Linked DNA regions of Mus musculus: regions 1, 2, 4, 5, 6 and 7 are each reported to be linked to region 3. Evidence: microRNA targets listed by miRTarBase, many of them from high-throughput screens and not tested one by one. Region 3 holds a microRNA gene; each other region holds the end of a gene's coding sequence.

The links. The annotated mature microRNA mmu-miR-301b-3p reads CAGUGCAAUGGUAUUGUCAAAGC and lies in region 3 at 1,928-1,950, opposite strand. An mRNA with a match to its seed (bases 2 to 7 or 8) in the 3' UTR can be bound and repressed. Matches are read on the target gene's strand: a 7mer-m8 pairs with bases 2 to 8, a 7mer-A1 pairs with bases 2 to 7 and ends in A, and an 8mer does both.
Region 1: miRTarBase lists Atp6v1h as a target of mmu-miR-301b-3p. The part of its 3' UTR that is shown has no 7-base or 8-base seed match.
Region 2: the mRNA of Sec63 is a reported target of mmu-miR-301b-3p. Seed matches in the 3' UTR shown: 7mer-A1 at 1,030-1,036 and 7mer-A1 at 2,877-2,883.
Region 4: miRTarBase lists Pex11a as a target of mmu-miR-301b-3p. Seed matches in the 3' UTR shown: 7mer-A1 at 2,419-2,425 and 7mer-m8 at 2,253-2,259.
Region 5: the mRNA of Sh3rf3 is a reported target of mmu-miR-301b-3p. Seed matches in the 3' UTR shown: 7mer-m8 at 2,660-2,666.
Region 6: miRTarBase lists Usp3 as a target of mmu-miR-301b-3p. The part of its 3' UTR that is shown has no 7-base or 8-base seed match.
Region 7: the mRNA of Tmem9b is a reported target of mmu-miR-301b-3p. Seed matches in the 3' UTR shown: 7mer-m8 at 3,198-3,204.

What each region holds. Positions count from the first base shown.
Region 1 is chr1:5,161,374-5,165,450 of GRCm38, forward strand. It overlaps Atp6v1h (ATPase, H+ transporting, lysosomal V1 subunit H), which reads left to right. Exons shown (of 14, transcript NM_133826.5): 14 at 732-1,176. The coding sequence ends at 792. Among named protein-coding and RNA genes, the nearest start is that of Atp6v1h, 80 kb to the left of the region's middle.
Region 2 is chr10:42,828,785-42,832,863 of GRCm38, forward strand. Sec63 (SEC63-like (S. cerevisiae)) reads left to right here. Exons shown (of 21, transcript NM_153055.3): 21 at 107-3,730. The coding sequence ends at 250. Among named protein-coding and RNA genes, the nearest start is that of Scml4, 30 kb to the right of the region's middle.
Region 3 is chr16:17,122,493-17,126,571 of GRCm38, forward strand. It overlaps Mir301b (microRNA 301b), which reads right to left and starts at 2,004; the gene lies at 1,908-2,004. 2610318N02Rik (RIKEN cDNA 2610318N02 gene) reads right to left here and starts at 2,710. Exons shown (of 7, transcript NM_001358255.1): 1 at 2,498-2,710. It overlaps Mir130b (microRNA 130b), which reads right to left and starts at 1,650; the gene lies at 1,569-1,650.
Region 4 is chr7:79,733,746-79,737,824 of GRCm38, forward strand. It overlaps Pex11a (peroxisomal biogenesis factor 11 alpha), which reads right to left. Exons shown (of 3, transcript NM_011068.2): 3 at 2,213-4,079. The coding sequence ends at 3,597. Among named protein-coding and RNA genes, the nearest start is that of Plin1, 3.0 kb to the left of the region's middle.
Region 5 is chr10:59,135,500-59,139,578 of GRCm38, forward strand. It overlaps Sh3rf3 (SH3 domain containing ring finger 3), which reads left to right. Exons shown (of 10, transcript NM_172788.3): 10 at 321-3,417. The coding sequence ends at 489. Among named protein-coding and RNA genes, the nearest start is that of Gm23223, 58 kb to the right of the region's middle.
Region 6 is chr9:66,514,729-66,518,807 of GRCm38, reverse strand. Usp3 (ubiquitin specific peptidase 3) reads left to right here. Exons shown (of 15, transcript NM_144937.4): 15 at 230-4,079. The coding sequence ends at 395. Among named protein-coding and RNA genes, the nearest start is that of Fbxl22, 2.2 kb to the right of the region's middle.
Region 7 is chr7:109,733,107-109,737,106 of GRCm38, forward strand. It overlaps Tmem9b (TMEM9 domain family, member B), which reads right to left. Exons shown (of 5, transcript NM_020050.1): 5 at 2,730-3,885. The coding sequence ends at 3,730. Among named protein-coding and RNA genes, the nearest start is that of Ascl3, 3.4 kb to the left of the region's middle.

The DNA of each region.
Region 1 (4,077 bases), not on the chromosome of region 3:
AGTAAAGAACATACCCATTCCCTCTGTCTCAGTGGTTCCTATATGTGATTTTAAGCTAAAGCTATGCATATTGTAGGTACATGTTCTATTTCTTTTCTCACATGTAACCTAAAATTCGTATTTAATTATGTAATTCAAGCTGGTTTTGAACTCACAATCTTCTTGCCTCTGCCTACTGAGTGCTGTGATTGTAGGACTGTACCTCTAACCTGCTGTCAGTTTATTTCCCGAAGGATCTAGACAGTTTGGAGACTATCACTTTAATTCATTTACCCCCGTATGTAGAATGAGAAAACTCCTTAGCCTCTGTGATAGCTGGGCATGCAATACTGTGGTCTTTGTAGGCCACAAGAGGAGCTCCTGATAGAGTCCTGACTTTTGCTGTTATTGTTAGGGATTTATTTTTATTGCCTTGTGTTCATCCCAGGCTATACATGTGTGTATTTTCTAACACTAAGAAATGTGTTTTCTATGGTATAAAGAAGCCCATTGGAATCTTAAGTTGGTTGCTAAGCTCAGACTGCAGATGTTAGAGTAAGTCCTTCATGTAAAGAGGGAAGTCAACCCTGCAAATGGCATTGCATGAAGACCTATCATCTCTGTGAACCAAGCTTTTGAAAGTTGGAAATGTGTAGTTTCCAGGGGTTATTTTATTAATAAATTTGAGTCTTGTCAGTGATTCTTTATATTGAAATACTAATTTGCCATGTTACCATGTTCTTGTTTTCTAGGGAATATCTTGGTAAACAACTACAGTCAGAGCAGCCTCAGACTGCTGCTGCTCGGAGCTGAGCTGACCTGTTCAGCCTTTCTGCACTTCCCATGGACCAGTGGAGTGAGAACCTCAGTCTTTAGGGTTAAAAGCAAATAGTTTTTAATTTAATGATTACTTCTTTTCTGTTGTATAGCTTTTCCCTATGGTAATTCCTGGGAGAATAAAAGTGTTTGCTTGTTAAATTGTATAAAATTAGATACTGCCTGTATTAGAGAAATATTACTGTTACTTATATTCTTTATGATTTTTGTATTTATTGTCCTCTGAAAATGAATATAATTAAAGGATTCTCACTCCAAACATGTTCTTAAATTTTGCTTATTCCTATTGTGGACTTTGAATAAACATCATTTATTTCAAATAAAAATTGGGAGAAGTGTTCCCAGGTGATGATGAGAAGTAAATGTTTTGAAATGATCATCTCCATCCCCCTCCCCCTCCCCCTCTCTCTGTCTTTTGCTCTCACTCTCTCTTACTCTTTCACTCATACGGACACACACATATGCACACATACATTCTACACCTTCAAGACATTACATAATAACAGGTATGTCCTGAGAAATACATTTTTTGGGCAATTTAGTCACTTTGCAAACATTACAGAATATAGGTACATAAGCCTGCTCTTGATTTGCCCTCTTGATGTAGTGAAGACAGTAAAAGGTGGATGAGGCTGTTGCTGTCAAAATATGGGAGATTATTTCACAGTAAACTTTAGGAGTACACTTTAATATAGTAACAATAAGTAAATAGACACATGGTTATTACCACTACCCACTGTAGTGTACTATACATTGTTCTGTATTCTTTTTTTCTTTTTTTTTTTTTTTTTTTTTTGTATTCTTATACCACTGCGAGTCAGCACTTAACTCTCATTATCAGCAGCATCACACAGGTGAGCAAGACCAAGTGCTCCAGTACCAGTATCTACAACATTGCTGTGTTTAGAACATTTTGCACCGTTGTGATTTTTATGGCATTATCATGGTATATGCAGTGTGTTATTCATGAATGACTGTGAAGTTAAAAAATTTAAACCTTGAATAAATTTTGTTAGACTTTGTATATTTTATTTCTTTTAGACTTTAAAAAGATCTATTTTTTATGAAACTAAAATTTAATAATATAAACATCACACTAAAGTTGGACAAGGCAAACTAAAAGAAGGAAAAGAGCCCTAAAGAAAGCACAAAACTCAGAGACCCATTTTTTCATGTACTTGGAACTCCCATAAAAACACTAAACTGAAAGCTATAATATATACGCAAAGGACCTGCTGCAGACATGTGCAGGCCTTGTGCTGCTTTGGTCTCTATGAATTTATATGATCTGTACTCAAGTTGGTTAGAAACCCTTGTTCTCCTGGTGTCATCCATCTCCTCTGGCTCTTACACTCCTGCCTTCTCTTCCTCAGGGTCCTCTGAGCTCTGAGGGTAGGGATTTGATGGAGATATTCCATTTAGGGCTGAGTGTTCTCTCTCTCTCTCTCTTCATAATGTCTAGTTGTGATCTTTGTACTTGTGCCCATTTGCTGCAGGAGCAAGCTTCACTGATGATGGCTCTATAAGGCACTGATACATGAGGATAGCTGAATAGAATATCACTAGGAGTCATTTTAGCATGCTTTTTTATTTCAAAGACCAGTAGTATTTGGTTTTACCTTAGGTCTCTGGGCTATAGTTGGCACACAAGCAGTGTTTGGAATGAATCCTATCTTGTGTGCCTTAAGCCAAATTACCCACAAGCTATATGCCACCATAACCCTGGCATATTTTGTAGGCAGGACAGCATAGTAGATTAAAGCTTTAGGCTTTAGCTGGGTTGGTGTATATGTTTTTCTTAGTAGCCTACTGAGTACTTTCCCATTTCAAAGACACTAGAACATAGTGGTGAAGGTTCTATGTAGGCATCAGATCGACTTCTTCATATTCAATGAGTTGTATGAGTGTAGGCTTAAGCAATGGGGCCTTGCTATCAGTTTGTGGAAAACAAACTATTATCTTGACAACAGCCTGGGTTGTATTTGGGTTTCCATGGTACCCTATGGCCAACAACTAAATTATATGTAACCCAGTCCTGGTATTCGAAGTTTTCTTTTGTGATAAGAGACAGCCAGCTGGGATTCTCTGTCTCCTGAATTTTTGAAGATTTTTCATTAGAATCACTGCCCTCAGTTTCCATACCACCCTTGAAATATCCCTCAGTTCCAGCTGTTCTCCCACATTTCCTCCCCCTCCACACCAGATCCTCCAGTTCTCCCAGTTTCCTCTGCTCCCAGTCTACCCATAAACTGTTTTCCCCTTGCAGGGAGGTATATAATTTGTTCCAGTATTTTCCTCTGTACCTAAACTCTTTGGGTCTGTTTGGTTATTTGCTTACTGGGTAATGTGAGTATATACCATATCTTTCTGGGTCTGGGTCTTGGGATGTTCTGTTTTGTTTTGTTTTTGTTTTTTGTTTTTTGTTTTTTTTTGTTTTTTTAGTTCTCCCTGTTTGTCTGCAAATTCCATACCTTTTTTTAAATAGTTGATTGTGAAAATACTTAATACATATTGTTTAATACTTGATTGTATAAATGTACCACATTGCTTTTTTATTCTGTCGAGGGATAACTACTTGTTTCCAATTTCTGTCTATTATGAATATAGTAGCAAAGAACATGGTTGAGCAAGTGTCCTTGTTGTAGGATGGAGCATCCTTTAGGTATATGTCCAAGAGTAGTATAGCTAGATCGTGAGGTAGAGTGAATTCTAACTTTCTTATCAGCTATACTGACTTCCATAGAGGCTATATAGGTTTTTAACTCTTACAAACAATAAAGCAGTGTTCTCTTTATTCCACATCTTTGCCAGAATGAGCTGTCTGGCACTTGTGTTATTAGCCTTAGGCACTTTGACAGGTGTAAGATGAAACCTCAAAGTAGTTTTGATTTTCATTTCTCTGATGGCTAAAGAACATAAATGTTTCTCAGCCATTTGAATTTCCTTTATAGAGAATTAGGCTTAAGTCTGTACCCCACTTTTTAATTGGATTTTTTCATTATTCAAGTTCTTTATATATTTTAGATATTAATTCACTATCAGATGTGGCATGGGTAAAAATCTTTTCCCATTTCTGTAGGCTGCTGCTTTGTCCAAATGATAGTGTTTGTCTTAATTAGGGTTTTATTGCTATGAACAGACACCATGACTAGGCAACTCTGATAAATGACAACATTTAATTGGGGCTGGATTACAAGTTCAGAGGTTCAGATCATTATCATTAAGGTGGGATCATGGCAGCACCCAGGCAGGCATGGTGTG
Region 2 (4,079 bases), not on the chromosome of region 3:
ACAAAGTTCACTCTCTGTGATTGCCACAGTCAGAGAAAACCTTCACTAGATAGTGTTTTCATTATTCTTCTCCAAATTTCTGACATACGTATTTAATTGTTTATAGTTGGAAGTTCATGAGGCCAAGCCTGTGCCAGAAAACCACCCACAGTGGGACACAGCGATAGAAGGTGACGAAGACCAGGAAGACAGTGAAGGATTTGAAGACAGCTTTGAGGAAGAGGAGGAGGAAGAGGAAGGTGGAGACTAACCCGAGTGAGTGGACTACAGCGTTTGCACATCCTTGCAAACATTGCTGCTCTGTGAGAGGTCATAAAGCAGCAGCAGTGAGGGCTGATATGGAGGGAAGGGTTGCCGACTTTACTAGAAACGGATGCAAAAAAGAGGCCGCTGGTGCCAGGGTACAATCTGAAAAGGGTTTTTAAAGCCTTTCAGGTATGGGGTGGTGCGTTTATCTCATCTGCAAATGATAATAAATCCTTTGATGTTCCAACTGTCCAGAAGTGTGGGCTGTGCATTACCTGATAGATTATGCTCTCAGTAAAAGTCAAGGCACATGAAAACAATCTATAAATGAGGAGCTCTTCTTTGTTCAGCTTTAGTTTTAGTAAACATTAAAATATGATAAGCATCACACATGTTTTAAGTAATGTCTGCTCAAGTTTTTAATCTGTTAGTAAGCTCTATTATTCATTTATCAATATTTTACAAATGGTAAGATTGTAACAGTTCCATATGTAAGTTGAAACCATAATTTTCATCTATCTTGGCCATAACTTAGCATTCTCACACATTCCACATAATACAGAGGGCTACATTTTAGAATTTTCCATTCTTAATTGCCCAGAGTTAGCAGACGTTATAAAAGTGGCTTTTATTGGCTTACAGCCTCTTAAAGCCTCTGGTGGTGTCAGTGCAGGATCGAATTAATCCGATAAGCTTCAGGGCCAAAAGTTACTCCGGGACCACACGTTCTCTGACGCTCGGTTGATGTCATTCAGCCTTTTGGAAAAGGTTCACTAGAAAAGCTGCACTACATTCGTAGTTTAACCTACCTGACTCTGTCCGAAGCCTTCTGAAGACAGTAACTACAGCATACAAAGGAGGCACTTTTGTATTCATTTGGACTCCTGTTAATAAAATAGAAGTTTGACTCATTTTATGTTTGTAATCGTGTGTGTCTTTTTACTCCTAGAGAAAGGGCATAAATAGGGTAATGTTTTATTTTTCAACTCTAAAGTTTAATATTGTACCTCACTGTGGAAGTGACTGCTATCTCTGTCTACTCTTGGAAAGCCCAGGAGGAAGAACTCTTCTCTCTCATTTAGTACAACCTAAAAGATAGTGCTCAACACAGAGTAGAAATGTGTGTGTGATGAGTCACTGAGGTCAGAGGAATATTTTTATTACTAGACATAGAGGACACACACGTCTACAGTACTATAAGACTGACTGCAATAATCCTATCAAACTCTCCATAGGCCAAAGTACTGTTGCAATACTAACTTATCACCTGTTTATTTAAAAGGTTGCTACTCTTCCTGCAGAATTATCGCTGGTATTTTGTTACTACAGTAGTTGGAAATAAAATTTAAAAATTACCAAAAATGAATTTTTTGTTATTGTTCTAAATTTAAGATGTAACATGTAATAGTTGTTCTCACTGGAACCCTGCTTCCTTCCTCTGCAGGCCCGGGGGTGTGGCTTTGCCTTCAGATCGAGACTGGCTGGGAAGCTCCAGGGTTGGCTGGCGCTGTTAGACGCAGGCGGGAGGGAGGGAGGGAGGGAGTCAGCTGTGTCAGGTGAGCAGAGATGAACAGCCAGAGCTGTGCTGGTCACATTTCCTAGTTTTCCTGAGGGAGCCAGGCTCAAGGACCGCTTCTCTAGTGGCTCTTTGCCCTCTGAAAGGTATACAGACTGTTCAAACAACTGGCTTCTCTGGCTTGAGAGTCTCTGGTGAGGATTTTACACCCTGATAACAGCACCATGCTTACAAAACAGCATGTCTTCCATGATTGGAAATTCCAACAACTTGATTCTGTTTGCCTATGTTGTGATGTGTAGCAACATCTCAACCTAAAGGACCAGTTTTCCTCTTAACAAGTGCTTTGGGGAAAGACTCCAGCTAGGGTGCTCGTCTCTCTACTCAGTCACTTAACTCCACATCCCTATTTTTCTCTGGATTAATAATTTGTCTGAGTTTGCATTTAGTTGAAGGGAGATACAGAGTGAAATTGATTATGAAATTAAGTAGTTTACATTGTGTAAAAGTTTTAATCTCTAGATCTGCAGAATGTCTGTCAAAATAGAGCTTTCCACAAGGGGTCTTCCTGCTAGTGGAAAGTGTGGCAGGTGCGAAGGCTGACATCGGGCCACCTGACTGAGGTCTCAGACCCAAAAGCAGATGTTCGCAGTCTCTAAACTGTTGGGATTTTTGAGAAGACTCGAGACATTGAATTAAGATTCTGTGTGTGGAGCAATCTCGTTCTTTGCTCTGCCTTTCCCAGCATGCCCTAGGGGTGGAGAAGAACAGGCTGTTGAGTGGTACTGTCCTGCTGTGCTGGGACGTTCGGGCCTGTCCGACACCAGTTCCTGCCATGTGGAATGAGGCAGTGTACTGAGGCTTTCTTTGTGTGACTTGATTTGTGTTTTGTTTTTGAGACTCACTATATAGCCTTGGCTGGCCTTGACCCACAGTGTAGCCTAGGATGTGGACCTTGTAATCCTCCTCTGGCCTCCGTCTCCGGAGTAATAGGATTACAAGCAAGAGCCACCACGCCTGGTGTTAACGTATCTGCTACATGTATTCAGGTATCCGCTCCAGCTGCCTCCTACCATACACTGGAGTGTTGTTTAGTAATAATGTGTATTTCAAATGCACTACATGTTTTTGAGGGATTGTTTATCATGTATTTACTGAATTTCCATGTCCGGGCTCTGTCATTAGGCACTGTAGCTATATGGACACTCTCTGTGTTAAGGACTTAACTTGGACTTTTAGTCAGCACATGGTGGGAATTTCTCCTTTCTCCACTGGCACAGTGGCCAATACCTCCCCTTTCCTTTCCTTTCCTTTCCTTTCCTTTCCTTTCCTTTCCTTTCCTTTCCTTTCCTTTCCTGTTGTTGTTTGTTTGTTTGTTTGCTTGAGCTTGTCACTAGGCAGAGGAATTCTGTTTGAAGGAACTAGCTATTAAGTTAGGTGGCCTTTGCCTAGCCCCTTATCCCTTTTGAATAAAGCAACATGCATCTTTTGTTGTTAAATGCTTCTTTTTTGAAGCATTTTCTCGACTCTATGAATCCCCTATTTAGTCTGCCTTAAAGTGAAACAACGACCAGTGAACCGAAGCATGACATTTTACCAGCTGTGCAGTGGTTAGCTAAGTGTGTCTTGAGATGTTAGCATCATCATGCACTTAAACTTGACACTAGGGCTATTTTACAAACCTTAACAAACAAAACAGATGCCACCTTGTACATTATCCTGTTACTGAGCTAAAAATCCAAATAGCAATCATGGGCATGCTTTAGAACTGTGGTTTCAGGCAGGGGTATACATCCTGGGGGTATGCAGATACTAAGTCCATTGAGAAAATGTTAAAATAATGATTCTTTGTATTTAATCTCATCCTTTTAAATTTCTATTTTTATGTGTTTTATAATGTACATAATATATTGTACAGTTGTACACTTATATAATTTATAAATAAATAATACATTTATTGGTGCATTATTTTTTCCCTGATTTCGGTGTGTGATGAAAAGATTCGTATACTACTGTTTTGTCGTATAGATAGGATGACGTTTCAATGAGCTGAAGGTTGGGGCTTTTGGCACTCTGCTATCTGAGTTGACAGTGACATACTTTGACACCAGGAGGCAAGGCTTCATTTGTTGTATCTAGATCTCCTGCTGCCCAGAAGAACAAAGAGGATGGATGCCCTTGGAGTGGGGCCATGAAAGAGGAAGGACTGTACCTTCCATGAGCTGGGTAGTCATTAGCCGCTGCAAATTAAAGGCTGGTGTGGGAAGGACCATCCCTCCAGTGCAGAAGGAGCCACGTGCCTGCATGATGGTAGCAG
Region 3 (4,079 bases):
ACCTCCCCTGATATGTACATGTAAGATATGTAAGATATGCACATGTAAGATATGTAAGATATGCACATGTTAGGATTCCTAGCACCTCAGGATGGATCTGCTGTGGCAACAGCTGCTGACACACGTCTACCCTAGCCACAAAGGAGTGTGGTTGCTTCTTCCCCATCAAAGCCCTCCGTCAGGCCTGAGACTCATTATGTATCAGAGCAGTCCCCATGGGTGCCAGGACTTGTGGAGCTAGAGTACTATTAAGGCTGATTTTCTCAATCTATTCCCAAAAGGGAATCTGGAAGCCTGGGCCTCCTCTCAAGGAGGCAGGCCTGACCACCTCCTACTAGGTTTTTGTTTGTTTGTAAAAGAGGGGTGGGTGCATTGAAACAGGGCTTTACCATGTAAATATAGCTCTTCTGGAACGTGCAGGGTAGACCAGGTTGTCCTTGAACTCACAGAGATCTACCTACCCATGCCTTCCCTGTGCTGCATTCAAAGGCATGGGCCATTGGGTCTTGCCGCTAAAGGTAACTCTGCAAGCACACTAAGGATCGGGCATCCTTAAAAATTCAGCTCCAGGGCTGGAGAGATGGCTCAGTGGTTAAGAGCACTGTTCTTCCAGGGGTCCTGAGTTCAAATCCCAGCAACCACATGGTGGCTCACAACCATCTGTAATGGGATCCGATGGCCTCTTCTGGTGTGTCTGAAGACAGCTACAGTGCACTCATATAAATTAAATAAATAAATAAATAAATAAATAAATAAAAATGAGCTCCAGCCCTGTCTGGAAAGCAGACATACCAGACACCTCCATGCCTCTCCTACTCAGCACATACCCTCTTTGTAAAGGAGCAAGCAGACATGGCTGGCAGGCCTACTCTGCAGGCTTCTTGTTCCAAGTCCATCCATCTGGCCCAGGCAGGACACTTCTTCTGAGCCTCAAGGTGTGAACCCAAGGTGTGGTTATCTCAGGAAAGGCTGAGTCCAGTTCTTCCCGAGGCAGTCAAGGCTAAGCAAGGTATACAAACCTTTTCCATACAAAGAGGTGAACATCTGTTTCTCTCCACAAGGTCCTGGAGTTCCTAGTTTTGTTTTGATTCTTCAGACAGCTTCAAAACTGAGACAATCTTCCTGCATCAGCCTCCAGACATGGGCTCACCAATCTTTCTTTCTTTTTTAATTGATTAATTAATTAATTAGTTAATTTGGTTTTTCTCAAAACACGGTTTCTCTGTGTATCCCTGGCTGTCCTAAAACTCACTATGTAGACCAGGATGCCCTAGATCTGGGTGATCCACCTGCCTTTGCCTTCCAAGTGCTGAGATTTAAGGCATGAGCTACCTACCATTCACTCACCGCCGCGCCCCCTGCAGCAGACTCCCCTATCTTAACCTGGGGGGAGGGGGCTAAGAGCTTGAGACTGGAGCCTTTCCAAATCTGGGGTCTCCCCTTTGTACTGGTTCCAGCCTTGGAATATGGTTCTCAGCATCCACCTTATCCTTTTAGCTAGAGATAGCTATCTCTATCTAAGACTATGATCCAAGCACTGACCCTTTTGTTCCTCAGGCTCCTTAGCTGGCCCGACAGATGCCCTTTCATCATTGCACTGCTTCCCAGAGGCCCACAGTAGTGCAACAGGGAAAGAGTGTCCAACAAGCCTGTCAGTCTCACGGGGTGGGGCGGGGCATGGGGAGTTGGGGTGGCTGGAGTGGGATCTTAGACCTAGAACGCATGCCCACCTGGGCGGAGCCTCGGCCTGAGCAAAGGATGCCCTCTGACCCCAGAGACACGGGCCTGGCTACAATCTCAAGTTTCCATGGAGAAGAGAGTAAAATGAGCAGGGGGAGGGTACGGCCTGCAGGCCTGAGGGGCCAGGCCTGGAAAGGGAAGAAAGAAGGAACAGTAGGTGAGGTGGTCTTCGAGGCTGGTCCCAGATGCTTTGACAATACCATTGCACTGCTTCTCACAGCACAGTAGTGCAACCTAGTCAGAGCACCCGCAGCCAGCAGGAAATCCATCGCCCTCGCTGCACGCAGGGCTGCGCTGGAAATTCAACCACCATGGGTGGGTGGGACATCTATCCAAGCTCGGAGAACAGACGGGATTCCAGCCCGGATGCAGTCCTCTGGACTTATTAACTTCAGGGAACTCAAACTTTCTCTAACAGGCTTCTGATTCTGGTGAGGTACTCCAAGGAGGGAGCTGAAGGGCGAGCACCCGAGGGGGCTCAAACACAAAGGAGAGAGGCCTGCGCTCAGTTGCAGAGGGGAGCACAGTGGGACTACTTGTACCCTGTTTCAGACCAGAACTAGAATAAGAGGGATACTTCACTCCTTGCACGTGAGGCCCTTGGAGTCCGAGATCCGGTCCTTGGTCCATTCCCCCAGTATGAGTTCTGCACTCTATCCTAACAGATTCTCCTGCCTAGAAGAGCAGAACTAGGGCTTCCTGGCATCTGGAGTTTCCCTGGCCTCACCGCACACCCTATCCCAGACCAGTTACTCACGTGGACAGACACCTCTTGTTCTCACCAGGGGGACAAGGTGAAGCTTAGTGGAAGATCCAGGTAGGCGGCGGCCCCGTCATATCTGGACAACCCCGCACCTCAGCACCTCGTGGCGCCCTCTCTCCCTCGGCTCCATCTTTAACCATCTGACAGTCCCGAGGGCCGAGCCCCGGGCCTCAAGGCACAGCGCCAGCCTCATTGGCTTGCGCCTACACCAAGCTTTGCCTCCTGCGCACCTATTGGCTGCTGCTGGAAAGATTTCAAAATAGCCTCCAGGCTCCGATTGGCCAGGCGCCCGAGTTTTGGCTCCACCGTTTTAACAATGAGTTCTACAAACACTTTCTCCTCATTCATAACTCTTGAAAAGGAGCTCTGTCCGCCTTTTCCCAGCTCATTTCTCTGTAGTTATTATAGTGATACTCATGAGGGCGCGTCCATGCTTACTACACAGCTCACCAAATTAGCGAGGGCTCTGAGATCCCGGCAAAGTGTCCTTTGGCCAAGCCAGCGGTTGAATGAACCCCTAGGGGATGCTTCGTATTTCGCGAGAAATTTGTTCATTGCTCCTCCAGGATGGGACATTTACTTAAAAACCGTGGCCTTCCCTCTTTCTGTCCAACTTCAGAGCATCGTCATCAGGAAACCTCTGGCTGGGCTGAGGAGGCCCTGGCACTTTTTGTAAGTGAAGAAATGCTCTGATGTCATTGATGTCATTGAGAATGTGAACCACTTTATGGGTAAGAGTTCATTAAGTGACCTTTCTGAGCTAATATGTCCAAAGATACACAGCACCTAGCACCCAGAACCTGAGGTGTTCTACTCAGTTCTGTCAGCGAAGGGAAAAACAGAGTTTTGCAGCTGGCGTCTGAGCTTTACCCCTAGTTATATCCATATGAGACAGGGAATCTTTACCCCCCAGCTCAAAGGCTGAAAGAAAATATTTTTAAAGCAGACAGAGCTGGTTTTCGATCTTCAAGAACTCATTTTGTCCACTTAATTTTAAATGTAATTTTTTGTGTATGGGTGCTTTGTTTGCCTGTCTGTACCACCATGTACATGCCTAGTGTTCAGGGAGGTCAAAAGGCTTTCTATCCTCTGCAACTGAAACTATAGAGGATTGTAAGCAAACACATGCATGCTGGAAATGAAACCCATATGCTCTGGTAGAGCAACCAATGCTATTAACACTGACCCATAATATCTCAGTCCCTACATTGTTTTGTCTTCTTTGGGAAAAAAAAGAATGCTGGTTTTTTGAGACATCGTATATCACGGCTGGCTAGTTGAGAACTCACAGAGTAGACCAGGCTAGCCTTGTGCTTATGGTAATCCTCCTAGGTTTTTGCAGTACTGGGGATACAGCCACCACACTGCATCGCTCCACACAGATACAAAATAAAACATCCAGAAATTCCAACATTTGGGAAGTGGAGAAAAGAGCCAGAAGTTCAAGACCAGCCTGAACTACATGAAATACTGTCTTTAAAGAGAGGGGGCTCACCAGAAAGAAGGCTCAGTGGTTAAGAGGGTTGGCTGCTCTTCCAGAGGACTCAGGTTCCATGCCCAGGATCCACAAGTTGTC
Region 4 (4,079 bases), not on the chromosome of region 3:
GGAGGGAGGGAGGGAACTTTACTTAGCCTGAGATGCCACCAGAACAAGAAGGAGGAGAACTATTTGGTTTTGTTCACTTATGTCTGGACAAGTAAAGGTGTTGACAGCTGGTTTGGTTGGTTGGTTGTTGGTTGGTTGGTTGGTTGCTGGTTGGCTGGTTGGCTGGTTGGTTGGTTTTGCCAACCAACAGCACCCAGACAGCCAAGAATTATCCGTTGCTATTCCTTCCTCAACAGGAACTCAAGCCCAAACTCAAACTTTAGTTTCTGATTAATGTTGATGGAGCACTGTGGTGCCAAGCTGTGTCTTTAGACCAACTAGAAAGGGCCTCGTAATCACAGTGAACGAGAGGACGGCAGCACGGTTAGTCCCTATTCACCAGAGTTGATGTTGTTGAGTCTACTAAGTTGTTAGTATGGGTAACAGGATGGAGAGGCACTGAGTAGGGTCACCAAAATGGCTCAGCAGGTCAAGGTGATTGCCACCAAGCCTGGCTGCAAAGTTCAATCCCTGGGTCCCAAAGAATTGAAGGAGAGAATTGACACTGGCAAGATGTCCTTTGACCTCCATATGCATGCTGTGACATTTGAGCATGTGTATAAGTGCGGGTGTGTCCAAGTGCACACGAATACACACATACACACACACACACACACACACACACACACACACACACACACGCACACACACGCACACACACCCCAAATAAATGCATAAATGCAATAAACAATAAGGATGTGAGAAAGGCTACCGATAGATCCTTGGTAGTAAATTTTATCTTCAGTATAATAAAACAGGGAACAAGATGCCAGGAAAGGGAGGGGTGTGGAACAAGGAGCTTCCAGAAGAGGTAATGAATATGTCATGCATTTGATACTTATTAATCTTGGTCTGAGCCTTTGGGCTGTAAGACAGCAGTGGGGAAGGAGGGGAGCGTGTAAAGTGGCCTCTGCCTTTGCTTCAAGGTTCAGGACGAGTAATCTGGGAGACTTGCATCTGGACACAGCCCAGGCTAAAGGGCAGCCTGCCTTCCCAGGCAGTGGCTTTGGGCCAGAGAGGATATAGGGCTCTGTGCCTGAAAGCTCTGCTGACAAAGCCGGTCCTTTGGCTGCTTCTGTACGGATTCTAGGATGTGGGTGAAAGGTGACAAGGGAAAGCGCCAGGCAGATCCTAAGGGCGAGGGTGAGAGGCGGTTCGCCAACACCACAGGGGGATGGGCAGAGGAGCTATCTCATGCTACTCCTCTCCAGGAGAGCAGAGGTCTTGACCACTCTGTGGACAGGTGGGTCCCCAAGCCAAGCAGGGCACTGAGACGTGTGCTGTGTCAGTGCTCAGCAGTGATGCACAACTGTTGGTGTGCTGCCCTGTGCTGCCCTGTAGCTGACAATGTTGGTTTCTTTAAAGAACACAGAAATAGTGTGGGAATATGTTTTCGTTTCAATCCCAGGTTTGGAGGATATGAGGCTGCTTAACAGCCGGGGACTATGATTTGCTTCATTCTTGGATGCTGTTGGTTGAGGTTGGTTGCGGTTGGTTGCGGTTTGTCAAGTAGTCGCGTGCAAAGAGACAAAAAGAGGACATTAGATATCCTGATGGTGAAGATCAAACTTGCCCCGAGGAACTCAGTGCCCCGAATCAGCAGGCAGTAGTCTAATAACATGGTCGTCCCTTTTCCTATCCTGGGCTTGACTCGGGAATTTCTTTCTCTCCTACCTAGTGTTGGGGTTGAAAGGGAAGAGGGGTGGAAAAGGGTGGAAGAGAAAAGAACCCACAAAGTAGCCACAAGCCCAGCTACACAGCTCCCCAGGGCTTCCCAGTGTTTGAAATCCCTCACAAATGTGGACCCAGGTAGAGAGGGTTAGCTGAGGAGAAAGATAAGAGGATGAGGTAGCAGGGCCCACTGAGATTCCAGATTCTAGAAGATGGCAGTTCTCCACCCTCCCAACACTGTCTCTAATGTGCAAGACCCAAAGCATCAGAAGCGACAGCCACGCAACACTGCCATGCACTGAAGGCAGGCTTCTCCAGGAAGCTGGCCAGCCCCTGCCAGGCTACTGTAGAGCATCTTAGCAGGGATGATTTGGACAGATCTGTAAGGGAACCTCTCAACCCAGAGCCTCAACATAGTCCCTGTGCCTTCCTCCCAGCCTGCACCTTGTCATTCCTGAGTTCCCACGGACTCCAGTGCAGACACACTCACAGACGCAGGAGTCAATTTTATCTAGAAATTTATTAGACATAATTAAAGTTACAGTGCAAATAGGCATTTGCTGGTATTTGTCTTGTTTTAGCCACTTTAATCTCAACCCCCGCCCCCAAAGTCTTCTCAAAGCACATTATCATTTTAAAAGTAGAGAATGCCAAGGGCCTGAGTCCACTTTTCAAGAATCACCTTCACATTTATGGGAAACAATTGCTTAGTGCATAGTTCTCATTTCCACTTAGTAGACATGACCCGCCTGCTGGCCAGTGTCTCCCACACCACACACCTAAACCAACCAAACTCAAGACAGGAAGACTGAACCGTGAAGTGTGAACACGGGCAAATGCACTGACCCGGTGTCCCCACGACCCCTCCACTGGCCCTATTGCTCTTTCCTGTCCCTCTCAGTTGTCCTGAGAAAACCAGATTTGTCACAGAAAACTGACGTTCCTACATCTATAGACAGAAAAAATTTAATTCTCTTATTTTGATAAAAATTACTGTGGAATTGCATAAACTGTTATGTAGCTAAATCAAACCAACCTGGGTGAGTCTAGATTGCTTTGCATTTCATAGACTGGGACAGAAACCATCAACTGAAGCTCCAGGACTCGGGGGCATGTTAAGGGGCTAAGGGCTCTGAGCCCGGGAAGACCGCTGAAGGTAACGAGATCACGCGGATCATCCTGGAAAGTCTCCCAATGAATCTGTGCTATCAGCTTTGTTTTGTACTGTCATAGTCCTTATCTGTGACGGATGACATAACAGGCCGCGGTGACCTCCCACCTGCTTTCACCTCTGGTCCCTTCTGTGGCTCTTGCTTGCTCCTAGCATTACCGAGAGCCTTCTACCTGTGGACACAGCCTCCGCCCCAGAGGCACTGATGTTCTTCTGAGGCTACTGGACATGGTCAGGACACGACTGCAGCAATGACCGGGACCAGCAGGTTAACAGGCGCTGAGCCCAGCTCCCCTCCATCTCACTCCTGACACCCGTGGGAGTGGGGGATAATAACAGATGGGAGAAAAGGGAAAACTTAAGCAGAGCTGGGAGTGCTGTGCTTCAGCCCTGGTGTGCTTGTGTGGAATCAGGGACCTGTGCAACCTGATCTGTAATTCTAGTTTCTTTGGGTCTTTCATGGTTTCTCTCCTTTTCATCTTTATTTGTCCAGCAACACTAGGCTCTTACTATGTACATAAAAGATGCTCAGTAATGTTACCTGAACAGAAATGAAGTTACTGTAGCATGCGCCACTGCTGGTCCTACCTCTGCTCATAGGATGGTAAGGTGCTCACATGATTTTTTTTTTTTTTTTAAATTAAGCACAGTAAACATTGGGACAAAACCAAATGTTTGTTCCACTGAACTGCTAGCCTTAAAGCCTCCAAACACCCTAGCGGGCCTTCAGTTTCAGCTGAGGATACACTACCGTGAGGAGACCAGCCAAAGAGGATATGAGACCTCCAAGTCCTACCACGCCGAGATTGGACTTGTAGATCCCAAGCTGGTTCAGAGGGATCAGGATGTCACAGAAGTTCTTCACGGTGTCCAGGAGCAAGGGAGGATGTCGCTTTAGAGACTGGAATAGGAGGAGGAGGAAGGACTGGAGCCATTCAGTCTCTTCATTAGCCACGCTGTACTTAGGAGGGTCCCGAGAGGATTTCTCTCTCTTTGCTCTGTCACGTGCAACTTGTCCCATCTGCAGCAAGATCTCATACAGATCCCGGACCAGGCTCAGCAAGAGGAAGTAGTAGTAATGGCGAGCCGCCCACCTTTGCCATTTCTCTCTGTTGACTCCAGAGGTAAGACCCACACTCTTCGCCCAGAGGACAGTGTCACAGATGTAATAAACCACGCGGTTGAGGTTGGCTAATGT
Region 5 (4,079 bases), not on the chromosome of region 3:
TTCCACAATTGGAGCCTGTGATGTCTTTAGAGCTACAGTTCCATGGCCTGGCTCTGATGCCAGACAGTGACAGTGGCAGTGGCCTATATTATTCTAGGCCCCTGAATACCTCCATGACCAACAACTGTTCAAAGGGAGGTTAGATGACAAGGTAAAGAGCTTTGGGAAATTTTACAAATAATTTTACAGACCATAAAATGTAATGGCACACTGTAAGAACTTACTGGAGGGGCGGAGGGGATAGGGAGCTCACTGTGGGCTACGGGGGATTAGAGGGAAAGCCCACCCCTCTGCTCACACAGTTTCTTCTGCCCTCCCAGGTACCGTGTGGTGGTCTCCTACCCTCCACAGAGTGAAGCGGAGATCGAGCTAAAGGAAGGTGATATCGTCTTCGTGCACAAGAAGCATGAAGACGGCTGGTTCAAGGGGACACTGCAGCGGAATGGCCGCACAGGTCTCTTCCCAGGCAGCTTTGTGGAGAGCTTCTGAGGACCACTGCTCATGGCTAGCTTCTGTTGTCCTGGAGAGAGCAGAGGATGCCCGCCTTATCACCAAAGTCCGAGCGAGGTTCTTTCTAAAGCACCGGCCAGAAACAAGCCGATGATTCACGTGAAGTCCTTATTGGAAGCACACATGGGCCATGGCGTGTTTGTGAAGATAGGCCATATCCTCATGTGACATCCTACTGGAAGCACATGTGAGTGTCCTGCAAGACCACGCCATGAGTCTGAGTGAGCAGTAGCACAGAAAATGTTACCCACATGGACAAAGGCGCTGCTCTGTCACCCAGCGGCTAAAGCGTTATTGTGTAAGGTTGGGAGCCCGGGAGGGTATAGAGTTGGGCCATGTGCTAGGGCTGACAGCAAGAAGAGCATCTTCCCTGCCTGCCCTGGGTACCATTCCTCTATATACCTCTGTCACCTACCACCAGGCCTCACCGCCAGGGCATTCATGGTTCAGGAGCCTCATAGAAGGGCTGTGAGCCTCCCAAGGTGTCCAGTGGGGTCCTGTGGGGCACTGGAGCAGAACCCTCTTGTCTTTGTCTCCTACTGGGATAATGAGGTGCACCGTCCAGTTCCTCCGCCGCTGTCTTCACACTGCTTCCTTCTTACGGCACACCTTTTTAATGTACAACTCTTAGACTTTATATATTTCTAATAGGTCAGACGCTGCATATTTTTCATACATCTGGTGCTGATTTTTTGTAAAACCAACCTGGGTAAGTGTCAAGGGGGGAAAAAAAGAAGTAACATCAAAGGAAAGTTTTCTATATTTCCCAGATGAAGTTTGGAGCATATTGAGGAATTCCTATCTGTAATATCACAATGCTGGCTGGTGCTCCATGCAGCGAGAGGGAGGGTCTGTGGAGAGGGTGCATGGAGTCGGAGCGTCTTCCCAAACGGCTGGAAATAGCTAACCCACAAGCTCCATCTAGATGAGAGTGATTGCTATGACTAAAAAACTGGAAACAAATGAAGGAGTGGGTTCTGCCTTTGTGTGTGGCAGAAAATGCACATAGACAGACAGACAGACACATACACATATATACACACACAGACAGACAGACACACACACATATACACAGACAACACACACACTCACACAGACACACACACACACACAGACACACACACATACATAGACAACACACACACACTCACACATACACACACACAGACACACAGACACACACACAGACACACACTGACCCCAGAAGCTTCCTTTGATTGCTTTAAAGAGAATGACTAAAAATAGCATTCTGAAAGCACGTCTTTCTACCAAAATGCAGCTTTTACAACAGCTCAGATCCACTCTCTTGCAAAGGATTTTTTTTTCCTTTTCAAAAATAAATAGCTTGCCCTCTGAGGCCAGGCAAAACTCATCTGCTAGAGACCAAAGGTACAGTGATAACACAAGCCTGATGCTTGTCTATAGACTTACAGGGCCTGCAGACGCTGGAAAGGAATGAGGGCTGGTCTCTGACTCTGAGGCCTTACGTATATTCACTGTCACAACAGCTTGCTGCCCAGGAGGCTAGCCTGATGGCTATCAGGAGGTGTGAGTGTCACACTCTAAGAACACTTTTTTTTTTTCAAAAATTTCTCAAAAAAAATAGCAATTTGTGAGCCTCTGGGTACATTTTTATAAAATCATGCAGCCCTGTATCAAGTCTTTGGTAGCAGAGGCTATCACTGATTTTCATAATAAAATAAAGAGCACTTATGCTCAACGTTTCTGTCTGGGGATATGACTAACTAGTTGTGACTGCCGGGTGGCTACCACATGGATGTAATCACACCCAGACGGTCTCACCCTCCCCCAGGTGATAGCACCCTTATTGGACATAGAAAACTGTTGTGAGCCAAAGAGACGCTCTATCTCAGACATAGGGACCCCTGTATGCAGGCTCGGTGACAACCACATGATATCTACTCAGTGTCACTGCTAAATGACTTGCCCATCCATGCACAAAAGATCTAGGTATGGTTCCGTGCTGCCACCATGGAGGTAACACAGATCTACATCCTGGGTGAGGCATGTTTTCAGTGGAACCAGAGCTAACTCCAGATCCCAGACAATGAAGCAAGTCCCTTTCCCTTCTAAACAAGGTCAACTCTGAGTCAACAGAACAGACTTCACTTGGAACTGTCTTCCTTTCTTGCACTGGCTGCCTCGTGATAGAGGAAGTAGCAGCCTCACAGAAAGCAGAGGAAAGCATCAAGGTACCGTGGAAAACATCAGCTGAATCCTCTCCTAGCAAAGTTTACACTGCGACCAGCATGGGGAGGGAAGCAGGGCCCTGGGGCTCATTCTCAGGTGGGGCTTTTGAGACACACAATGAACCCCATGGTCTGAGTATTCTGAACACTCCCAAGCCCTTGAGCCTTCAAAAATCATGTTTTCCACAGCCAATGACAGAAAAGAGGTACCTTTCCTAAGGTCATCTTCCCTTGAGGACACACGTCTGTGGCACCAAAATGAAGCCAGCACCTCATCTAGAACCTTCACATTCCGTCCTGGCCAGCAGCATGTGCCCCTTACTCATACACTTGTATTTGGTGGCCACGTGGGTTTCACTCCTTAGTTCTCAGCCCTTCAGATAGACGGTCAGCAAGGAGACAGGACAGTCTAGCCTCCAGAGGACTGATGGATCTCGAGAGACAAGATGGTCCATAGTGAGGCGTAAATACAAGGCGGAGCACCCCAAAATCAGCCCAGTAGATGTGGAAGCCCTTGTACTTTGCACAACACACACCGAGACAGACAGACAGAAAGACACGTGCACACGTGTGCTCCCAACCCCACATATGTTTTTATTATACACCAATGTCAGTGTGTGATTTTAGATGAATTGACAGTAGTGGCCATCTCTGATGCCTGTGTTTCTGAGTCTTTAAATAAAGATGAACATGGAGAGGCTGTGTGTCTCAATAACGGGACCAATGCAGGTGGGGTAGGCGTGAGCCTGAGAGGTTGGGATTCAGGCCCTGGGGGGGGGGCACTGAACTGAGGGTGTTGGTTTAGTTGCTGGTCTATGGCTGTGAAGAGACACCATGACCAAGAGACGCTTGGGAGCTTGCTTAAAGCTTCAGAGTGGTAATCCCCAATCATTATGGTAGGAAGCGTGGCGGCAGGCAGGCAGGCAGGCAGGCAGGCAGGCAGGCAGGCAGGCAGGCAGGCAGGCAGGCAGGCAGGCAGGCAGGCATGGGACTGGAGCAGAAGCTGAGAGCTCAGTTGCAGGCAGAGAGCGAGGGAGACTGGACCTGGCATGGCTTATGACACCTCAGAGCCCATCCCCAATGATAAATCTTCACCAACAAGGCCACACAAATTCATCCTCCTAAACAGTCCACCAACTGGGAACCAAATGTTCAAATATATGAGCAGAAAGCGGGGTGGTGTTCTCATTCAAGCTATCATAAGGGCACTGCCTGCAAGCCCAAGCCAGCCCCAACACTCACGCTTGTCACCTTCTGCTCCTTCAGGGGGACACAGACTCAGTGTCTATCAGGACTGGGCACAGGGATCCTAAGAACTTGTGGCCAGCAGTGAAGTTGACCATGATCTATACCCAGCAC
Region 6 (4,079 bases), not on the chromosome of region 3:
GTGACTTCTGTAGACTTTTCTCATCGTTTGAGACAGAGTCTCACTATGTAGCCCTAGAACTTACCATGTAGAGTAGGCTGCCCTCAAACTCACAGAGATCCAGCTTTCTCTGTCTCCCAAGTGCTAGGATTAAAGGCATGCAACACCAGACCTTTTTGTGTTTACTATTTTACTCTATAGTCTTTTTTTTTTTTTTTTTTTTTTTTAACTTTTTGCCTTTTCTTTACAGGGTTGGTTCTGGACATTACACAGCATATGCAGTTCACGAAGGCCGCTGGTTCCATTTCAATGACAGCACTGTGACAGTGACTGATGAGGAGACCGTTGGGAAGGCAAAGGCCTACATTCTGTTTTATGTGGAGCGTCAGGCCAGAGCTGGAGCAGAAAAACTGTAATACCTCCTGACCATGAGTCATCAACTACACCGGACAACATTTCCATTTTCCATAAATACTTGATCCAAGAGTCAAATTTCAGTATGCACTTTTCAATTTCCAGTTTGGGGTTTAGTTTGGTCAGTGGTAGTGACTTACCCAACATGAGCACCAACTAATTTTTGTTGTTGTTCTACCAGAAAACCTCAGCAGGCATTTTGATTGGCTGCTTTAGTTGTAATAATTCAATTTTTATATGTAGTTTCCAGAACTTAGTTCTGTTTGACTTTTTATATTAATGTTTTCAGTTCTCACCGAGGCACATTTGCATTTGCTCTATACTCACATGCTGAGAGCCACCCTGACTGCTGTCTTCATAGCAGCCAGGTCAGCGACTCCATCGTGAGGATCGTGTGTGCAGGTCTGTGGCCCACCGGTTTCACAGTGACTGCTCAGGAATTCCTTCCGACTGCAGACCAGGCCGTCACCACTGCTGTGTCTCAGGGTTGCTGTGCCTCAGCATTAAATAACTCTGCCAGTCCCGTTGCACCTGTGCTAGAGTTCCAGAACTGCTCCATTTCTTGTCTCTGGTCTTCTTTTAATATTTTCTTGGGGGCAGACAGGCTAGGAACACTGACAAGTGCAAATACGTGTTTAAAAGCCCTGCGATTCAGCTGCATGGTAGAGGTATGTCCTGTGGGTGGATCTGTCTGACCATCAGAGGTGAGGTCTTACCCCCCAGACCTGACTTCCAGGCAGAAGTGGAGTCATAGAAGCTCTGGGTTTTAATTCACTCCCTGCCTGAAGCAGAACCAGGTGAAAGTATATGTCTCTGAACAAGAATAGTTTTTATTAAATTCAGTAGCTTAAAAAATACTGTTCACAGAAATAGGTTAGAAGCACTATTTGGACCATTTAAAGAAGGCAGCTAGTGGCAAATGCTGGAGGCCAGTGATTCGGTTTGCAGGTATTGAAACCTTTAAGTCAGAGTGTACAACTCCAACACAGCCTGTTCCACATCCACCTCCTCGAGGGACAAAATGCACTTCATGCAGACTTTTTACTAATATTTTTTCTATTACAAGTAAGTTTGGTAGCTTTCCTTGTCCAGTGAAGTTGATGGAGACGTGGCTCAATTCCACATTAATATTAGCTACAGAAATCTTCATTCCCTCAGAACAGAAATTACATTCTGGATCAGTACCTTAATACACTAACTTGAATCCCTCAGTACAATGACCGTATGACTAGTGTGTCCTTGGTCACACTAGTTATGTCAGGGCTGGGTACAGGACAGTGCAGGGCAAGTACCTTTCCATAGGGTTCTCTTGCACAACACAGGTCTAAATTTTATGCAGAACAACAAAGCTGTGACATGTGTAAGCACTACAACTTAGATTTAGTGCAGGAAGAGGAAGTGTGCTGAGTTCCATGAGGTAGAGGCATGTGCAGCTCTAGTTCTGCTGGTTTGAGCCACAGATCGAGGGTCGAATGATTTGCTCTAATATATCAGAACTGTGATAACATCACAGCTAAGCCTAAATGAGTCTCATCTAACGTTGCACACAGCTCCCACTAATCCAGGCTCCTCTGGCATTTATATCTTTGCCTCTGACTGGGCAACTGTAATGACTTACACAGTACGCACACAGAGCTGGCACTGTCAAGCCAGGTGGAGCAGCAGCAGCAGACTGGGCCGCTCTGTGGGGAGAGTGGTCATTAGGCAACACTTTGGCATACAAGGGAATGAATCATCTCTGGAATTTTTGTAGCAGCTTTATTGCTTGGTTTTACTTAAGCAGCAATGGCTGAGTGACACCATGAAGACTCTTTGAGAAAGTGACTGCACCCATATGCAGTGCCCATCTGAACACCCATGATGAAGTACATGTGCCTATTTGTTTTAAATCTAGCCTTACTGCACCGGTTACAGGCTTCTCTCTGTACTGTCTAGGGCTTTCCCACGTGTGTTCTAACCTGCATGCAACTTTTGCTCAGAGCGTATGCTGAGGCAGGGCCTCATGCATATCCTGTCCTGTCAGCCCATGGCAACAGGAAACTCCAAGTCCTCCCACACAGGTGGGGATAGAAACAGTTTGTGGCAACACAAGTCTCTCCATGGTGGAGAACTCTAAGCTTATCCACTGTATTCTACTCAGTGTGTAGTGGCAGATGATGTAATTAAACCAGTCATATGCGCTGGCCCTGGTTGAGTGTCGTGTGTCACACCTGTGGTACCTGCTCAGATTTATTTCACTTCTTTGGTTTACTTTATATGTTTAACCCATTGTAACCTCTACCGTCCCCTAAACTCTCTCATGGTCCTCCAACTGCTGAAGTCACCTCTTGCCCAGGCTTTGGAAAGGCTCAGGTAGGAACTGTTTCCAGAGCATGGGTCTTCTGACAGCCCCGAGAAGATGCCACAGCACAGGAAAGAGGAGGCACATGTGTGTGTGACTGTCACCACTGGGCAGTAGCCCTCAAGGGAGTGGTGGCCATGCCAAGATCATTGGCCATTAAGACTTAGTAGTCTGTATGATGCCAAGATGTCATTGTGCACGTTACCATTCATTCTGGCTGCAGACGAATCACATCCTAGTCCCGCCTCACCAGCTGGGCTCTTCTGTGGATTGTTTCCAGGCAGAGCAAGCCGGGCAGTGGTGGCGCTCGCCTTTAGTTCCAGCACTCAGGAGGCAGAGGCAGGCGGATTTCTGAGTTCGAGGCCAGCCTGGTCTACAAAGTGAGTTCCAGGACAGCCAGGGATATACAGAGAAACCCTGTCTCAAAAAGCCAAAAAAAAAAAAAAAAAAAAAAAAGAGGAGGAGGAGAGGAAGGAAGAAGAAATGGCAGAGCAACAGCCATCAGGGGCCAGTCTTGTAGCCTACATGGGCAGGAGGAAAGGGGAGTAGTCATTAAGGGGTTCTGTGGAGTTCTTTCAGGGGAAGCTGTAGTAGTCTTAGGTTTCCACCAAGTTGTATGCACTTAGAGCAGCTTCATACTTCCAGATCTGCAGCACAGCTTCCTAAAAAGCAGGGCAGCTGGGGGCTGTGTGCAAGCATTGAAACCCATCAGACTTGCAGTTCACTTCCAGTTATTTACACTTCAATTAAGTGTTCAAAAATAGAAACTGCCCACCCTCACATATTGGGGAATGCTATCTAGGACAGATAATGAAACTCTGCAAATCACCCACGAAAAAGAACACATGCACCAGTCTGTCTGTCTCACACACACGTGCTAGCTTTTAAAATAACATTTCAGATGAATCTTATGACAGTTTAGGGTAAAAATGGAGCCATTTGGGCCTTGCCATTGGGGTTTAAAGATAGCTCATCTTTGCAAGGTAGCCATTAGTGTCCTGAGCTAAAGTACCAAGCATGATCCTCAGATTCCACTCACAGTTTGGGGCATGGTAAAAATGACCTCTTCCTAGCAAGGGTGAGCAGAGGAGCCGCACCGACACACTCTGATACCTAACAGCTAATACTCACTGTCCTGCTAGGAGAAAGGCTGCAAGCCCAGGAAGGGCTGTTGTCGCTAATTACCTCCAATGAAAACACCTTAGTAAAAGCCAAGAGCCCTGTGCTCAACACTTATCAGCTCAGAGGAAAAGAAATCCCTTTTAAGGAAAACTTGTAACTTCAATGGGCTGCTCTTCTGCCAGGACTTTCAGGCCCTCTGAACATAAGCCGAACCACAGATGGC
Region 7 (4,000 bases), not on the chromosome of region 3:
CACACTGGGGAAGAAGGGTTTATTTGGCTTACACTTCCATATCATTGTTCATCACCAAAGGAAGTTAGGACAGGGACTCAAACCTGGAGGTAGGAGCTGATACAAAGGCCATAGAGAATTGCTGTTTACTGGCTTGCTCAGCCTGCTTCTTAGAGAGTCCAGGATGATCACCCATCAATCACAAATTAAGAAAATGCCTTAGAGCCGAATCTTACAGAGGGATTTTCTCAACTGAGATTCTCTTCTTTGCAGCGGATTCTAGATTGTGCTAAGTTGACATCCAAACTATCTAGCATGAGCTCGTGAGATGGCTCAGCAATTAGAGCTCTTGTTGCTCTTGCAGAAGACCCAAGTTCAGCTCCCAGCACCCACAAGAGGGAAGAGTGCTGCCTTTGCAGCAGCTGTAGCTACACTACCCATAGCTCGTGAGTTTCCTTGACGGAATACAATGTCTCTTCTGGTCCAGGCAGAAGATGATTAGTTTAACTACAGAAGCAAGACGGAGCTTGCTTTCTTTAGGAGGCCTGAAGAGCTGGGCAGTGGTGGCGCCTTTAACCCCAGCACTTCGGAGACAAAGGCAGGTGGATTTCTGAGTTCGGGGCCAGTCTGGTCTACAGAGTGAGTTCCAGGACAGCCAGGGCTACATAGAAAAATCCTGTCTCAAAAAACCCCCTAAATAAATAAATTTTTAAAAAAAAGCCTGAAGAACACCCCTTCTGGGTTGCACAGAGAGAACTATGACTTTTCTCTTTGCTTCTGTCCCACGTGAAACTAAAATTATATTATTTTAAATGTTAATTTTTCTTTTGTTTCACAAGACAGTATTTTTAAAGAAGAACATACAATCAAAGATATTTCAAAACTTTTTTTCCCTTTTGTGCTTTTTTAAAGATTGTGTGTGTGTGTGCATGGTGTTCTGCCTGCATACATCTCTGTGCATCATATAACCTGTGGAGGACAGAATAGGGCACTGGAGCCCCTGGAACCGGAGTTACAGGGTGTTTTGAGCCGCCATGTGGGTTCTAGGAAGTATACTCAGATCCTCTCCAAGTGCAGCCAGCACTCTTAGCACAGGGCCATCTCACCAGCCCTTCTTTTTGTTTTTGAGATGGGGAAACTTGACCAGTAGCTGAGGATAGCCCTGAACTTTTGGTCCTTCTCGATATACCAAGTGCTGAGATCACAACCACACGCTACCACATCTGATTTCTACTCTAAGGATCAGACCTGCGGCTTCATGCACTCTAAACAAGCACTCTACCCCAGCCATTTTCTCTTTTTAAGAACTTTATGAACGTGTGTGTGTGTGTGTGTGTGTGTGTGTGTGTGTGTGTGTGTGTGTGTGTTCACTTGTGGAACTCAGAGGACAGCTTGCAGGGTTAGGTTCACTCTTCAATCCAGTAGGTCCCAGGGATTCTCAGGTCACTGGGCTCGATAGCAAGCACCTTTACCTGCTCAGTCATCTCCCTGGCCCAGTTGTACTTTTACATTCTCCCCGGCCTGTTCACTGCTTGTACATAGGAAAGCACCAGATTGTTACATCCTGAAATCTTCAAACTTTGCTGGAATTGCTTACTAGTTCCAGAGGGTTTTGTTGTTTGGTTTTCTAGAAGCCAGCGTCATCCTTAAGCAGTCTCTTTTCCCTCGTACTCTGAATCTTTCTTCTTTTATGGCACGAGCTAGGACTTAAAGGTTGACGTTAAAAAGTGCACAAGAGGACATCCTTGTCTCCTCCATCTCAAGGGCGAGGACTCATAGGGTGAGGTTAAAGCATCACAAGAGGACATCTGTGCCTCCTCAATCTCAAGGGGAAGGCTTCTAACTTCTCGCCAGTAAATATAACTTACTATTACATAAATCTAATTGTTGCAGTTTTTCTTGAGATACTGGTCTCGTTCTGTAGACTATGCTGGCCTTGAACCCCTGGCAATTCTCCAGCTTGTTTCCCAAATGCTGGACTTACAGGAAAAGCCACTAAATTCAGTTTGTAATTCTTTATCTGGCTGGGGAAATTCCTCTTATTCCCAGTTTTGCAAGAGTCTTTCTTTCCTGTGTATGCAGGCCCACATGCATGTGGAGAACAGAGGACAGCCCGTGGGGTCACCCTTACCTCTCCACCTTGAGACAAGATGTATAAGAGAGATAGCTGGTCCACTCACACTACTGCATGCAGCTTTTTTATGAGGGTCCTGGGGATTTGAACTCAGGTTTGTGTGACTAGATTTTACCCACTGAGCAATCACTAAAGTCTGTCATATATATGCAATTTTTTCATATGTATATGTATGTGTATGTGTATGTGTATGTGTATGTGTATGTGTATGTGTATGTGTATGTGTATGTGTATATGTATATGTATATGTATATGTATATGTATATGTATATGTATATGTATATGTATATGTATATGTATGGGTCTCATTACACAGCCCAGAATGACTCTGAATCCCAAGCAACTCTCTTGTCTCAGCCCTCTGAGTGCTAGGCTTAAGGGCATGTACTACCATGCTTGGTTTGTGACATTAGAGGTCCTCAGATTGTCTGACTACTTGTGTACCTAGGAATACATTGTCTTTCTCTCTGCACCTACATACCCTTAACACAGTCAGTGTCTTACGATTTGGTTGCATAACATGTTTTCAAACTACAATATACCAATGTCTTTGTGTCACATGCTTGTCACACAGCACAAGAGAAAGGAGAAAGGCTGGAGAACAGAAACATTGATTGGGTTTTGTAAATTATTTTATTGTTACATTCCAAAGAGGATGTAGGAAGAAAAAAGCCAGTTATCCAATAACTGTTAGACTTCTCAGAGAGAGGCAATCTGAACTCTAGTCCTTGTTCAAAGCTGCCCACATCAGTTCAAAGAACTGCCTCTCAGCAAGACAGAAAAGGCTGATCAGTATTTGTACGTCAATCATCCAGGGAGGCTTGGGCTTAAGAGAAAATGTCTTTATTCTAAATGTTCAAGTCCTTAGAGCTACTAGAAGAAGATGAGGAAGACCACACACACTGAGACTGTGTTTAGGTATCAGTGTAAACTAGCAGATGGCCAGTCTGTTCTAGAACATGTTGCGTCAGACATCACAGTGCATGAAACAAATCTTCATTTTGTGAGGAGCCCCCAGGCATTTCAGATCCAACTGGTCATGAAATGCAGCCACAGGCTAACCAGAATCTTAGGTAATGTAGTCAGTGCAAAAGTCAAGTGGGGAGGCCAGCACGCTGACAAGCCAGCTACACTGGGACATTAACAAGTGTGAAGTAGAGGGTCTGAAGTATTCATAAGTCTGTCTGGAAAAGACACTTGAGAAGCTACTCAAGCACTCCCAAGGCATCCTTCCTTCTCTCTCCCACCACAAGAAAGAGAAGCAAAAACACACCTGGAAGTTATCTTGAACACCAAGTTAGAACTGTGTGGCAAGAAAGAGAGAGCTTGTTCCAGGCACGGGGCTTCAAGATAACTCACAGGCAGCTTAATTTTATTAGTAAAAGTCACAAGTAGGAAAAGACTTACTGGTTGACTTGGAACTGTGTGCTGTAAAAATGTCTCTATTAATATATTAACAGGAAAATACCAAGCATGGGGTTTGCTTCCAGTTTGGAGTCTTCCTCCATCCAGCAAGGATTTGTAAAAACAAACATGGCATTAAAACGCACGGACACCCAGACAATTCTTCCCAGTTGTCTGCGTGTTCTTCCTAGTCACCTGATTCCAGTTCCCAGTTAGCTGAGGACAACGTGTCGGTCGAAGACAGACTTTCGCTGCTCCTGGACCTGGAGCTTCCAGCGCTGCTGAGCGTACTCCACCTTGTTTAGAACATTGGCTCGGCTGCGAGAGCGGGCCAGCACATCATGGGCATTTGCAAAAGGCTGGTGATCCTAGGAGTCAAGGCAGAAGATATTAGAGATGGCAGGGCCAGCATTAAACATTCCAGAACAGCCTGTGGGAGAGACCTAGGGCAGGGTGTTCTAGCCCTTCAACAATCGGAAGCAG